3 linked regions of the Coturnix japonica genome follow. The protein of the gene in region 1 purifies or fractionates together with the protein of each later gene. This does not show direct contact. Links are inferred from orthologs where the notes say so. Each region holds a gene or a part of one and is shown in the gene's direction. Other genes may lie near its edges. The genes, in order: ARHGEF26, CASK and LIN7C.

Region 1 (3,656 bases):
GTTGTGCAGTGGAAAATTAAATACTTATTTAATACTTACTGAAGTCCAATCAAAAAGGATCTGCAGTAGAATTGCTTCTGAAACCAAGAAGAAACCTGGCACAGAAGTTTCACAGGCTGTTAGGATAAAAATTAATTAATTAGTATCATTTCATGCATCCGTATGTCCATGGTGTTCTCTCATTTAGCACATTTGTCCATAAGTTCCCTGGTGGTGCTTCAGCTCTTTGATTACCATTAATTGCTATGCAAATGTCTCTATTTGCTACAGTTGGTGCTTTTTAGTTCTCTGAAGTAGTGGATGTTTTCTTTCAGACAATTTGTCAGAAAACTCCTAAAGATTCACCAAAATATGAGAACTGCAAGCAGGCCCTGAAAGAAGTAAGCAAGGTATGTCTGGAAATACAAGACTTTCAAGCAGAGCATTGTGGTATGAAAAGAAAAGGAGGAATCTCAGGGTTGTCAGTTTTTTGCCTTCAAGATCTCAGTTTGAGAAAGCATAACACATCACAGACTGTTATTAAGTGTGATGTATTGAGCATCATTAGAAACTAAGAATAATTGAAAGGGAACTTCCTCTCCCTGTGAGGGCTGGATGTGGCCGTGGGCGCTGAACGTTGCTGTGTAAGGGAGAGCAGTGAAGGATATAAAAACTTTGAACTGTCTTAATTGAAATCAATCCACAGTGGCCTTTCTCTTGGCTAAATTACTGTCTTTTTCTTACTTAAGAAGATATCCTGCACTCGGGAACACTGTGCTGTTGCCAACACAATTATTTTTTTCCATAGGAACAGTAAATGGTTTGTGAAGTGTTTGATTTTAAAAGGAGACAAGGCTTATTAACTGTGGGAAGACCTGCATGATATTTATGGAGTTGAAGGGAATGTGATTTGATGCCCTTCTGACTGCACCTGTGAGCACACATGACTCTTCTCCCATGTGCAGGCTTCAGTAAGGCTATGGTGTGTGCTTTGAGATTGTGTTCTAAATGTCAGCCACGATGAAACCATCCCTGGGGTAGTTTCATAGAGTCAGAGAATGGCTTGGGTGGAAAAGGACCTTAAGGATCAACTGATTTCAGTGCCTCTGCTGTGGGCAGGGTTGCCAATCCCTAGACCAGTTTGCCTGAGTTTAACAAGGTGGCACTGGAGTATTTGTACTGTGACTTTCGTCTATGAAAGAGTTGCATGTGTGTGCAGCACCGATTGTCAGGCTGGAAAGATGGCTTCTGTGGGGCAGGGCACTCATTTGGATCAGTGAGTAAGAGAAGTAGTAATTATAGTATTATTAGTGTGGGTTGAAAGGGGCATCGGGAGGTCGTCCAGTCCAGCCCCAGAGCAGAACCATCTCTCAGCTCTGACCAGGTCACTCCGTGGTGCATTCAGCCTGGTGCTGAAAGCACTGTGACCATCCCTGAATGTGAAAATGTCAGATCCTTTGTAAACACTTCACGGAAGTGCACTGTGTGAAGGAACAGGGGTTACTGGTATCACACATGGTGGGGACGTGAAATACACTCGGTAAATGTCTTGTTTTTCAGTTGGTGCGTTTGTGCAACGAAGGTGCTCGAAAAATGGAAAGGACAGAAATGTTGTACACAATTAACTCCCAGCTGGAATTTAAAATCAAGGTATGATTAAATCAAGGAACAAAAACCATTTACCATAGGAGGAGCTTTGACTGCATGTTCTTATGATAGCTTCATTGCCAGCACAAAGTAAACTGGGGCAAAGTAAACCTGATGCAACTTCTCAGTTAATGGGAAGTCAAATTCATATTCTAAGGTAGCTGAAGCTTTGGAAACTTGAAGAGTAACTGAGGACTGCTGCTCCTTTAGCGAGGTCTGTTAAGCTTCAAGGTGAGACTTTTAAGGAAATAGGGTATGAGAACATGCTTTTTTAAAATAATGAAGTAGCATTAATTACTGAAGAATGAATGCCCAGACTCTGGGTTTAGCTCTGTGGATGGAAGTGTGTTTAAGTGGTCAGTCTTGTTCTGGGTAAGTCCTGTCTCCAGAAGGATATTTCTCAAGTTGTCCAAAGTATTTACATACTAAAAATGAGAATAACATTTACTTAACAAGAATAAAGGAAACATCTCCTAAGTGACACCACAGCATCTGCTAACACTGGTGGATAATAGTCTCAGGTAGTTGCATAACTGAAAATAGAGTTTTAAATAGTTTGACTGCATTGTGTCATTGGCTTCCCACATTCCTTCCCAGTTTTCTGACCTGCAGAAGAACGTGGCAGGTTTTAAATGCCTTTAAATTGTTTTTCTGCTGGCAGGGGTTGGGATATGGATCTGACCTTGCAGGAGCTATAGGCCCTGTGTGATCCTTGCAGTGTGCTTGCTGGGACTGGCAGCTCTTGCTGATTTCATGACAATAACAGAACTTTATCTTCTTTTTCTGTATTCTTTATGCAAGTTTTTTTTCCCTCCGTGCCTCTTAAATGCAACCACTGAGTGGTTTAGACTTCTTTTGTTGGAGCAGGTGCCAGCTGGAATGCTTGCCGGATTGTTTTGGCCAAGTTTCAGCACATTTTAAGTTCTGATGGCTTATTTTACATAGAAAGGAGGTGAAATATGCATTGTAGTCTTTTGGCAATTAAGGGAAAATTAATATTAAAGTAAACACAGGATGCCTCTGGAATACAGTCAGCCAGGAAAATCTGATGAACTCATTTGGAATAGAGATTAGAGGGCTTTTTTAGTTCATACTCTAGAAATCTTCAGAGTAGCTTTTATCTGAAGAACAATGATGATGATTCCGTTCTATAACCATTATAAACCAGGTGGACTATTTCTGTTCTTTTCTCATGAAGCATTTTGTAATTCTCACTTTCTTTGGTGTGACTGTAGAGCATTACATAGGAGTACGAGAGAAGCTGCTAAAACCCACATCACTTCTGTACATGGCTGAGGATACAAATCAGCCTGAGGCAAGACTGAAGTTGAAGGCTTCTTTAATTTGTAATGATTTGTAAGGGTTCCAAAGGACTGCTGCACTGCTGGTCTAACTGAGGGCTGCTGGAGGAGCCCTCTGCACTGTGAGGAGCTGAGTGCCATGGGCAGCCCAGCAGGCAGGGACAGCCAGCCATAATTGCGTCCTGTCCATGTCCGTGTTCACTGTGTGAGGGAAGGAGCTGCTGCCAGTGCTGAACAAGCAGTTCTCCTCTTCTTAGGGCATCAGTTCCACCCTGAAGTGCGAGCAGTCAAATCTGCTCATTTTTACCCTAGATGAGCAATTAGGTCATGAATATGAGACTTCTCAAGTATTTGCAGGCTGTTACTTGTGGACTGTGTGGATGATAAAGATGCTTTAGAACTCCTAATTTCTGTGCTTTGAGTTTTTTCAAGTGGGTTTTGTTTTTCCAAATATTTAAGACTGTTACCTGATCTTGAAAAAGGAGGGGAAATAAGCTACTTTTAAAGGATTGAAATGTTATTTTCTTGTTTTTTAGCCATTTCCTTTGGTTTCTTCTTCGCGGTGGTTGGTGAAAAGGGGCGAGTTAACAGCGTATGTAGAAGACACGGGACTTTTCTCCAAAAGGACTTGCAAGCAGCAGGTGTACTTCTTCCTCTTCAATGATGTCCTCATTATTACCAAGAAGAAGAGGTAAGAGCTTCGCCAGTACAGAACGGTGTGTTTGGCTC
Region 2 (2,580 bases), on another chromosome or scaffold:
CTAAGAGATGCCAGAAGTGATATAGGAAATACTGAAATAGGAACTGCTGGGCAACATGGAGTGAGAACTTCCTCATCGGCAAAGGGTGGTTAAAGAAAGTAAACCCCAGAAGACTGATGTTGAACAGTGAATTGTTACCAAAACTGGGAACAGCTGATATTTAACAAAATACCCTATCCTGTTTCTTGTTCTCTTCCCTGGACATAGGCCACGTAGCTTGAATTTGTGCACTTTGTTTGTTTAACTCACGTATGGTCTTTTTAGTTCCATGTCTGTGCTGCTTTTATTAGCTTTCATCCTTGCCTTTTTAGTTCTAGACTTGTCTTTTGTCTCACGTAACGTCAGTAAATGACTTGTATTTGAATGTCAGCTTCAAGACAGAAACTGTGTAATTTCTTCCTTGTAATTTCTAGGGAATTAGGCAGGGTCTCTAGACCACTTAAGCTTTTTTTGCCTGCTTTCTTCTCTGTAAGCAACAGCTAGAAAGCTGCCATAGAAGTAAAGGAAACGATCCAACTTACCTCTCCCATTTCCTTTTCTCATCATTGACTAGGATGAATCTCTTCAGCGCCTGCAAAAGGAGTCTGAAATCTTACAGAGAACATATGCACACTACTTTGACCTAACAATTATCAACAATGAAATCGATGAAACAATCAGGCACCTGGAGGAAGCCATTGAGCTCGTTTGTACAGCGTCGCAGTGGGTGCCAGTCTCCTGGGTCTATTAGGCCGCTCGCGAGATCATTGAAAAAGCCTGGCGTTACTGGGAACCACCTCATACATGGGAAACCTCTTCGTTATTGACCTTGTGTCAGCAGGTCTTGGCCCCTAGAGACTACCTAGATGTAGTGTGACCTAAATTTATAATTATTGTCATGTCCTAATAGATAAGAGGAGGGGGAAAAAAAAATTAAACACTAATTTAAAGAGACAGTATCTTTTTTTTTTTTTTTTTAATCATTTCTCCTAAAATTTAATAAAGTGTATCTTTAAATGTATGTATTATTCAGTCCTTTGGAATGTTATATTTTTGGAAATAATAGCTTTTTATTTCAAGGGCCCCTAAAAACTGCACAAAATAGATGCTGCTTTCTATAATCTATTTTAATAGTAATAATAATATGATTCTGTTACCTTAACTTGGGGGTGGAACACTACATTCTTTTTAGAGTCTGATTTTATGGATCGGAATACTTTCCTTTATTTATTTGAAATAATCAGTCTAGCGGTTACCAAACAAATTCATCAATCTTAAAGGCCTTTCTTCGCTCTTTTTTTGTTGTTGTTGTTGTTTGTTTGTTTGTTTTTTAGGGTAGCGTTTTTAAATACTTTTGTGTAACATCCAGATAATGTGATACTGTCTCTTTGAAGAACTCTGTAAAACTTCTTTTAGAAATCTGAAATTGGGTCTTGACTCTTAATGCATGTGGACAGTCGCAAGCGTTCATGCCGTTGGTGTATCTGTGTTGAAAAAAAAACTGTAATCTACAGCAAAGTACATTCCGTTCATGGGAAAACGTACCCAAGGGAATAAAGTGAAATATTATTCTGACTTAAGTTGTAAACCTATGCACATCCCTTGCATTTTGGGCAACTTTATACAAAAAAAAAAGGAAAAAAAAAAAAGAAAAACCGATTTTTATTAATAATAATCATGTAGTGAAATGTGTTTGTAATTTTGTCTCAATTTAATTTGTTGTAAGGTGGGAGGGGGCAATTACTGGTTTCACCATTTCAGATCTGTGTCGTCTGAGAGTATTAACGTTTTAATTAAGTTTAAGCAAAGAAATGCTGATTTTTAATATGTATGTAATTGTTTAAAAATGCACACATTTTAAAAGAAAATACTGTGCAATGAAGAAACCAGTTTAGGCATTGCGATAAACTTGACTATTCCAAAAGACTCATCGAAAACAGCCCTGTAAATTCCTTCAAAATGGTAATTGACGCTACAGTCTGACCAAGTTTTTTTATTTTAAATATACTTCCTTTTATGTGTTCAACAACCAAATGTTTTTGGGTCCTTCATTTCATCGCAGGGAGTTCCAAGAACAAATCAGTGCTTCTTGCAGCGAGAAGAGATTTCTTGACGTCTGTTCAGTGAAGGCCGTGGCGGAGAAGCTCAGGGGCTCTGCTGGGCCTTTCCAAGCACAGCTTAGAATCAGAGCAGAGCCAAGGAAGAAAAAGTAATTAAATGTGCCAACCTTATGTTTTGTTTCCTTTCTTCATGCCCTCACTGGCCCAGATGGTTTATGTTTTTCCTGCAAATACATAACAGAAGCAAGCATTACAGCTTCTTTCTAGATGTCAGAAGTGTTCCTTAGCACGGTTTGTGTTAAAAGCTCTGTTGGCTGCGCTGTTTTATAGTATGAAGTTCAGCATTTACGTGTTCTCAAATGATTTGTCCTTAAGTTGAACTGTGAGCCATAATTATCCGTAGGCTGGTTCAGTTGTGTGGGACCACATTTCCTGTAATCAGAATTTTTCTGTCATCAGAAAATATTCTCACTTTATTATCGGGGCAATAATCATCAAATGCAAAAGCTGCTTATTTTCTCCTGCCTACTCCTGCAGGTCA
Region 3 (3,656 bases), on another chromosome or scaffold:
ATCAAAAGCATTTTTTTCATTCTGTAATTTTTGTACAGATTGCAAGTATGCAGCAAACACAGCAGACTTGGAGTTAGCAATAGCCGGGGTTTCAAATGTGATGCGTATTTGCTTAGATACCTGATCCTCTTAACAAATTGAAAATGCTTCCTAAATAGTGAGGATGAACTTGAGCTCTCATCTGAAGCAATGCGTGCGACTGCAACTGTAATATTCGGGTGCTGTTCCATGAGTGATTTACATCCTGTCTGTGATACAAACACAGCTTTAACTGTGCTGGTGGATGACCAGTTCAAGAAGTTACATCATACCATCTTTAAATGACTCTAGCGGCTGCTATGAGTGTCTGCGAGATATCTAACTGATGCCTTACAGAAGTGGGCAGCATGAACTGTGGGTTGTCTTCTGTCAGTGCACCTCAATTTCGGAGTGTAACAAGATAGACATTGGTCTTGAAGTTTGTGGTGGCTGCTTGTCTATTTAGTGGCATTACAGCAGCACAGAAGATGTTCCACGTGAAAAATGATTCCCTGAAGGTTAATTATGGAAAAGAGGAAGTAATGTATTTAGGACATAATCATGCTCCAGACTTCATCTTCTAGAATGATCTATGCCTTATTTATGCGGTAGATTAATCACTGCTTCTGTCTGCCTTTCTGATAACGAAGATCATAATGTCTACCTGCTTTTCTGAGAGACTGTTCTACTGCTATTCATGGACTTAACGTGATTCAGAAGAATGGTCACTCTAGAAATGTAAGTGAGGAATATTAATCCTTGCTACTCTTGAAGAGCTGCCTGCAGAACGCCGCATAGCTTTGATGCCATGTTTGATGCCCATCTTGCTCGGTACTGGTCTGAAATCAAATTCTTCAGATGAAATTTTGGTTTCACTGATAGTTTTGGTCTTTCAGGACATGTCAAGAAATGAGGAAAAAATGTTGAGTTTGGGGATCTTTACTACAGAACACTCAGCAGAGATCGTGGAGGAATTTGGGTTCTTTTTCCTAGCGCTTTGATACATCAGGCACATTGTAGGTGGAGGAAGTAAGAAAGTATTTTCAAACTGCTATGAGGTTTAATCAAGTTTTTACCATTCCAGCTGCTGTTTGGCATCCAATTAATATAATTACAGACTACTCATGCCCAAGTCAGCCTTTTTTGTAGGGAAAACATTGGGTGTATTTCTGGTAAACTAGTTTTTGAATGTAAAAGGTATGTTAGTTTGCTTGGTGATACTATAGATTGCTTTGACAAAATGATAGCCATACATTACATAAATTACGGAGTTTTATGCATACAAAACAGTGCTACCGCATTAACTTTGTTTAAAAAGCAAAAGCAAACAAAGCCACCAGTAGGATCTTTTCAGGCATTGCTCATAATGAACACTTCATTTTTGTTTTTTTCTGTAGATATCTGCAGAGCAATTGAATTGCTGGAAAAATTACAGAGAAGTGGAGAAGTGCCACCGCAGAAACTACAGGCTTTGCAAAGGGTCCTTCAGAGTGAATTCTGTAATGCTGTAAGGGAGGTAAGTTAACTGTGTAAGCAATTAGCTTGCATTAAAAGTGGTACCTTGAAAAGTGGAAGTGTTAATGCACTGAACTTCAAAAAACTGAATTTGACTTATGGAGCTTTATAGAAGACGGCTTATTTTTTACAAGTTGAGAAGAAAACAGTTTAGGGGTACTATAGGTGTGTTGTATTAAACAGTATCTGATAAACAAATTACTTCTTGGAGGTTATTTGGAGGTTATCTAGCTGCCTTGCTGGCAGGTAGTGCCCTGTTATCCTGTTGGCTGGTAAGAACGGGCAAAGTATAAATTGCCTTTTCTTTTAAGCTAGATTGGCATCATAGCTTTGCACACCTCATCTTCGTTCCTGATGCTCTTTCAGTAATTTGAGATGATTGAATGCATCCTCCTGTTGGTGGCGGTGATGGTGCTACCACTGCTGATAACACCTGCAACAATTTGCAAGATCTGTTTGTGGACGTGGAAGTCCTCTTGATGTTTTCATCTTATGAAGGACTGCGTTTGTTGTGTTAGCTACCACTAACCCAGTTAGCATTAGTATTCTTATGGCCTTTGTGTTTTCAATAGCCTTTATTTTCATTATGTATTCAGTTGGTTGCATCAGGTGAAGGGAAATACAGATTTGATTGTTGGGTGAGCTTTGAAGATCCACCCTTGCATAATTTTTCATGCACCCTTATGGAAAAGTCCAATTAAATCAAATATGAGAAGTTAGTCACCCACATCTGCTGTCAGATGTTGTGGTGAGGTCTGTATACTTACTGAGTGAGAGGATTTGGGTTGAGACCTAGAATGTGTGTGGCTTATCTGAGCAGTAAAGATATTGAGAGAGTTGTTTCTTCATAGTATGGTAGATACTTTACTTGGCACCTTGCAGTGAATCAGGGAGTCATTTGCTAAAGGTGTTTGGTTTGGTTTTTTTCATGTATGCAGTTTTAAGTTGTAACTGATTGTTATGTTACCTAAGCAGAAAAATAACTCTTTTCACCGTGCTTAAGTTGTCTTATCTTTAAAGGTGTACGAACACGTATATGAAACTGTGGATATCAGCAGTAGCCCAGAAGTGAGAGCTAATGCAACAGCGAAGGTAAACGCCAAACTTGAGTAAAATGTGTTAATTTGTTACTTTAGAAGCAGAGGAAAGGTATTTAAAATCCAGAAATGTATTATCTAGATGTTTGGTCAAATAGATAAACATATGAGGTCATTAAAAGGGATAACAAAAGACATTTTTTAAAAGTTTTTTCCACTTATATTGTCTTCGTTGAGTTCTAATTTTTTTTTTAATCCCGATGTTGTTTAAGAAATTGATCTGATTATTCTTAATATTTTAGCACTTTAAGATGAAACTAATTTTTCAGCCTGCTCACTGTGTCAAGCTGAGGAGTTTGTAGTCGTGTAAATAGCAAGATCTTATTTTTTACAGGCCACTGTAGCTGCATTTGCTGCTAGTGAAGGTCATTCGCATCCCAGAGTGGTTGAACTGCCAAAAACCGAAGAAGGTCTTGGATTCAACATCATGGGAGGCAAAGAACAAAATTCTCCCATCTATATCTCCCGAATTATCCCTGGTGGTATAGCTGATAGGCACGGAGGCCTGAAACGTGGAGACCAGCTCCTTTCTGTAAACGGAGTGGTAGGAATTTTTTCACTTTCTATAGCAGTAACTACTTGTCTCCACTTGGGGGCATACGTAGAATATTCGTGGCACAAGCTTGAGGTTGTCTTTCGATCCTAGCAAAACTGCTTCTTATTGTCCTCTCAAGAACATCTTCCTTAGGTTTCTGAACCTAGTTCTGTGCAGTGAGAGTTCTTGGATTATGCTTTGGTTACATTTTTCAACTGGGATGGGTACTATTTATGTCAACGTTTCAAATTCTGAAAAGTTGTATAAATCTGGTAGGTCTTGTTCTGAAATAGTATTGAACTACCATTATGGCTTCCTGTTTTATCCAATTTGATGATGCAGGTTTTAACTTAGTTTTCTGCAGCTTCAAAGGTAAGTAGTAAATTATAATGCATGATGGTAGACTGAGCAGGGGCTCTTTGTCATTATCCCAGTAGGAGCACTACTGCTTAATGAAAGCTGTAGAAAGATGGAAAAACAAGGTGGTGTTA

Evidence for each region.
Region 2: the proteins of ARHGEF26 (region 1) and CASK purify together in Homo sapiens (affinity purification with mass spectrometry; 3 studies listed by BioGRID and IntAct, with this or other methods). This does not show direct contact. The link is inferred for Coturnix japonica from reciprocal best matches to the Homo sapiens genes ARHGEF26 and CASK.
Region 3: the proteins of ARHGEF26 (region 1) and LIN7C purify together in Homo sapiens (affinity purification with mass spectrometry; 3 studies listed by BioGRID and IntAct, counting the BioPlex papers as one, with this or other methods). This does not show direct contact. The link is inferred for Coturnix japonica from reciprocal best matches to the Homo sapiens genes ARHGEF26 and LIN7C.

Annotation. Positions count from the first base shown.
Region 1 is NC_029524.1:20,648,497-20,652,152, reverse strand, and holds part of ARHGEF26 (rho guanine nucleotide exchange factor 26), read left to right. Parts: intron 1-314; coding exon 315-389; intron 390-1,539; coding exon 1,540-1,629; intron 1,630-3,463; coding exon 3,464-3,618; intron 3,619-3,656. UniProt on the Homo sapiens protein: Activates RhoG GTPase by promoting the exchange of GDP by GTP. Required for the formation of membrane ruffles during macropinocytosis. Required for the formation of cup-like structures during trans-endothelial migration of leukocytes.
Region 2 is NC_029516.1:100,936,090-100,938,669, forward strand, and holds the end of CASK (peripheral plasma membrane protein CASK), read left to right. Parts: intron 1-553; coding exon 554-730; 3' UTR 731-2,008; downstream 2,009-2,580. UniProt on the Homo sapiens protein: Multidomain scaffolding Mg(2+)-independent protein kinase that catalyzes the phosphotransfer from ATP to proteins such as NRXN1, and plays a role in synaptic transmembrane protein anchoring and ion channel trafficking.
Region 3 is NC_029520.1:3,029,682-3,033,337, reverse strand, and holds part of LIN7C (protein lin-7 homolog C), read left to right. Parts: intron 1-1,415; coding exon 1,416-1,534; intron 1,535-2,553; coding exon 2,554-2,625; intron 2,626-2,964; coding exon 2,965-3,174; intron 3,175-3,656. UniProt on the Homo sapiens protein: Plays a role in establishing and maintaining the asymmetric distribution of channels and receptors at the plasma membrane of polarized cells.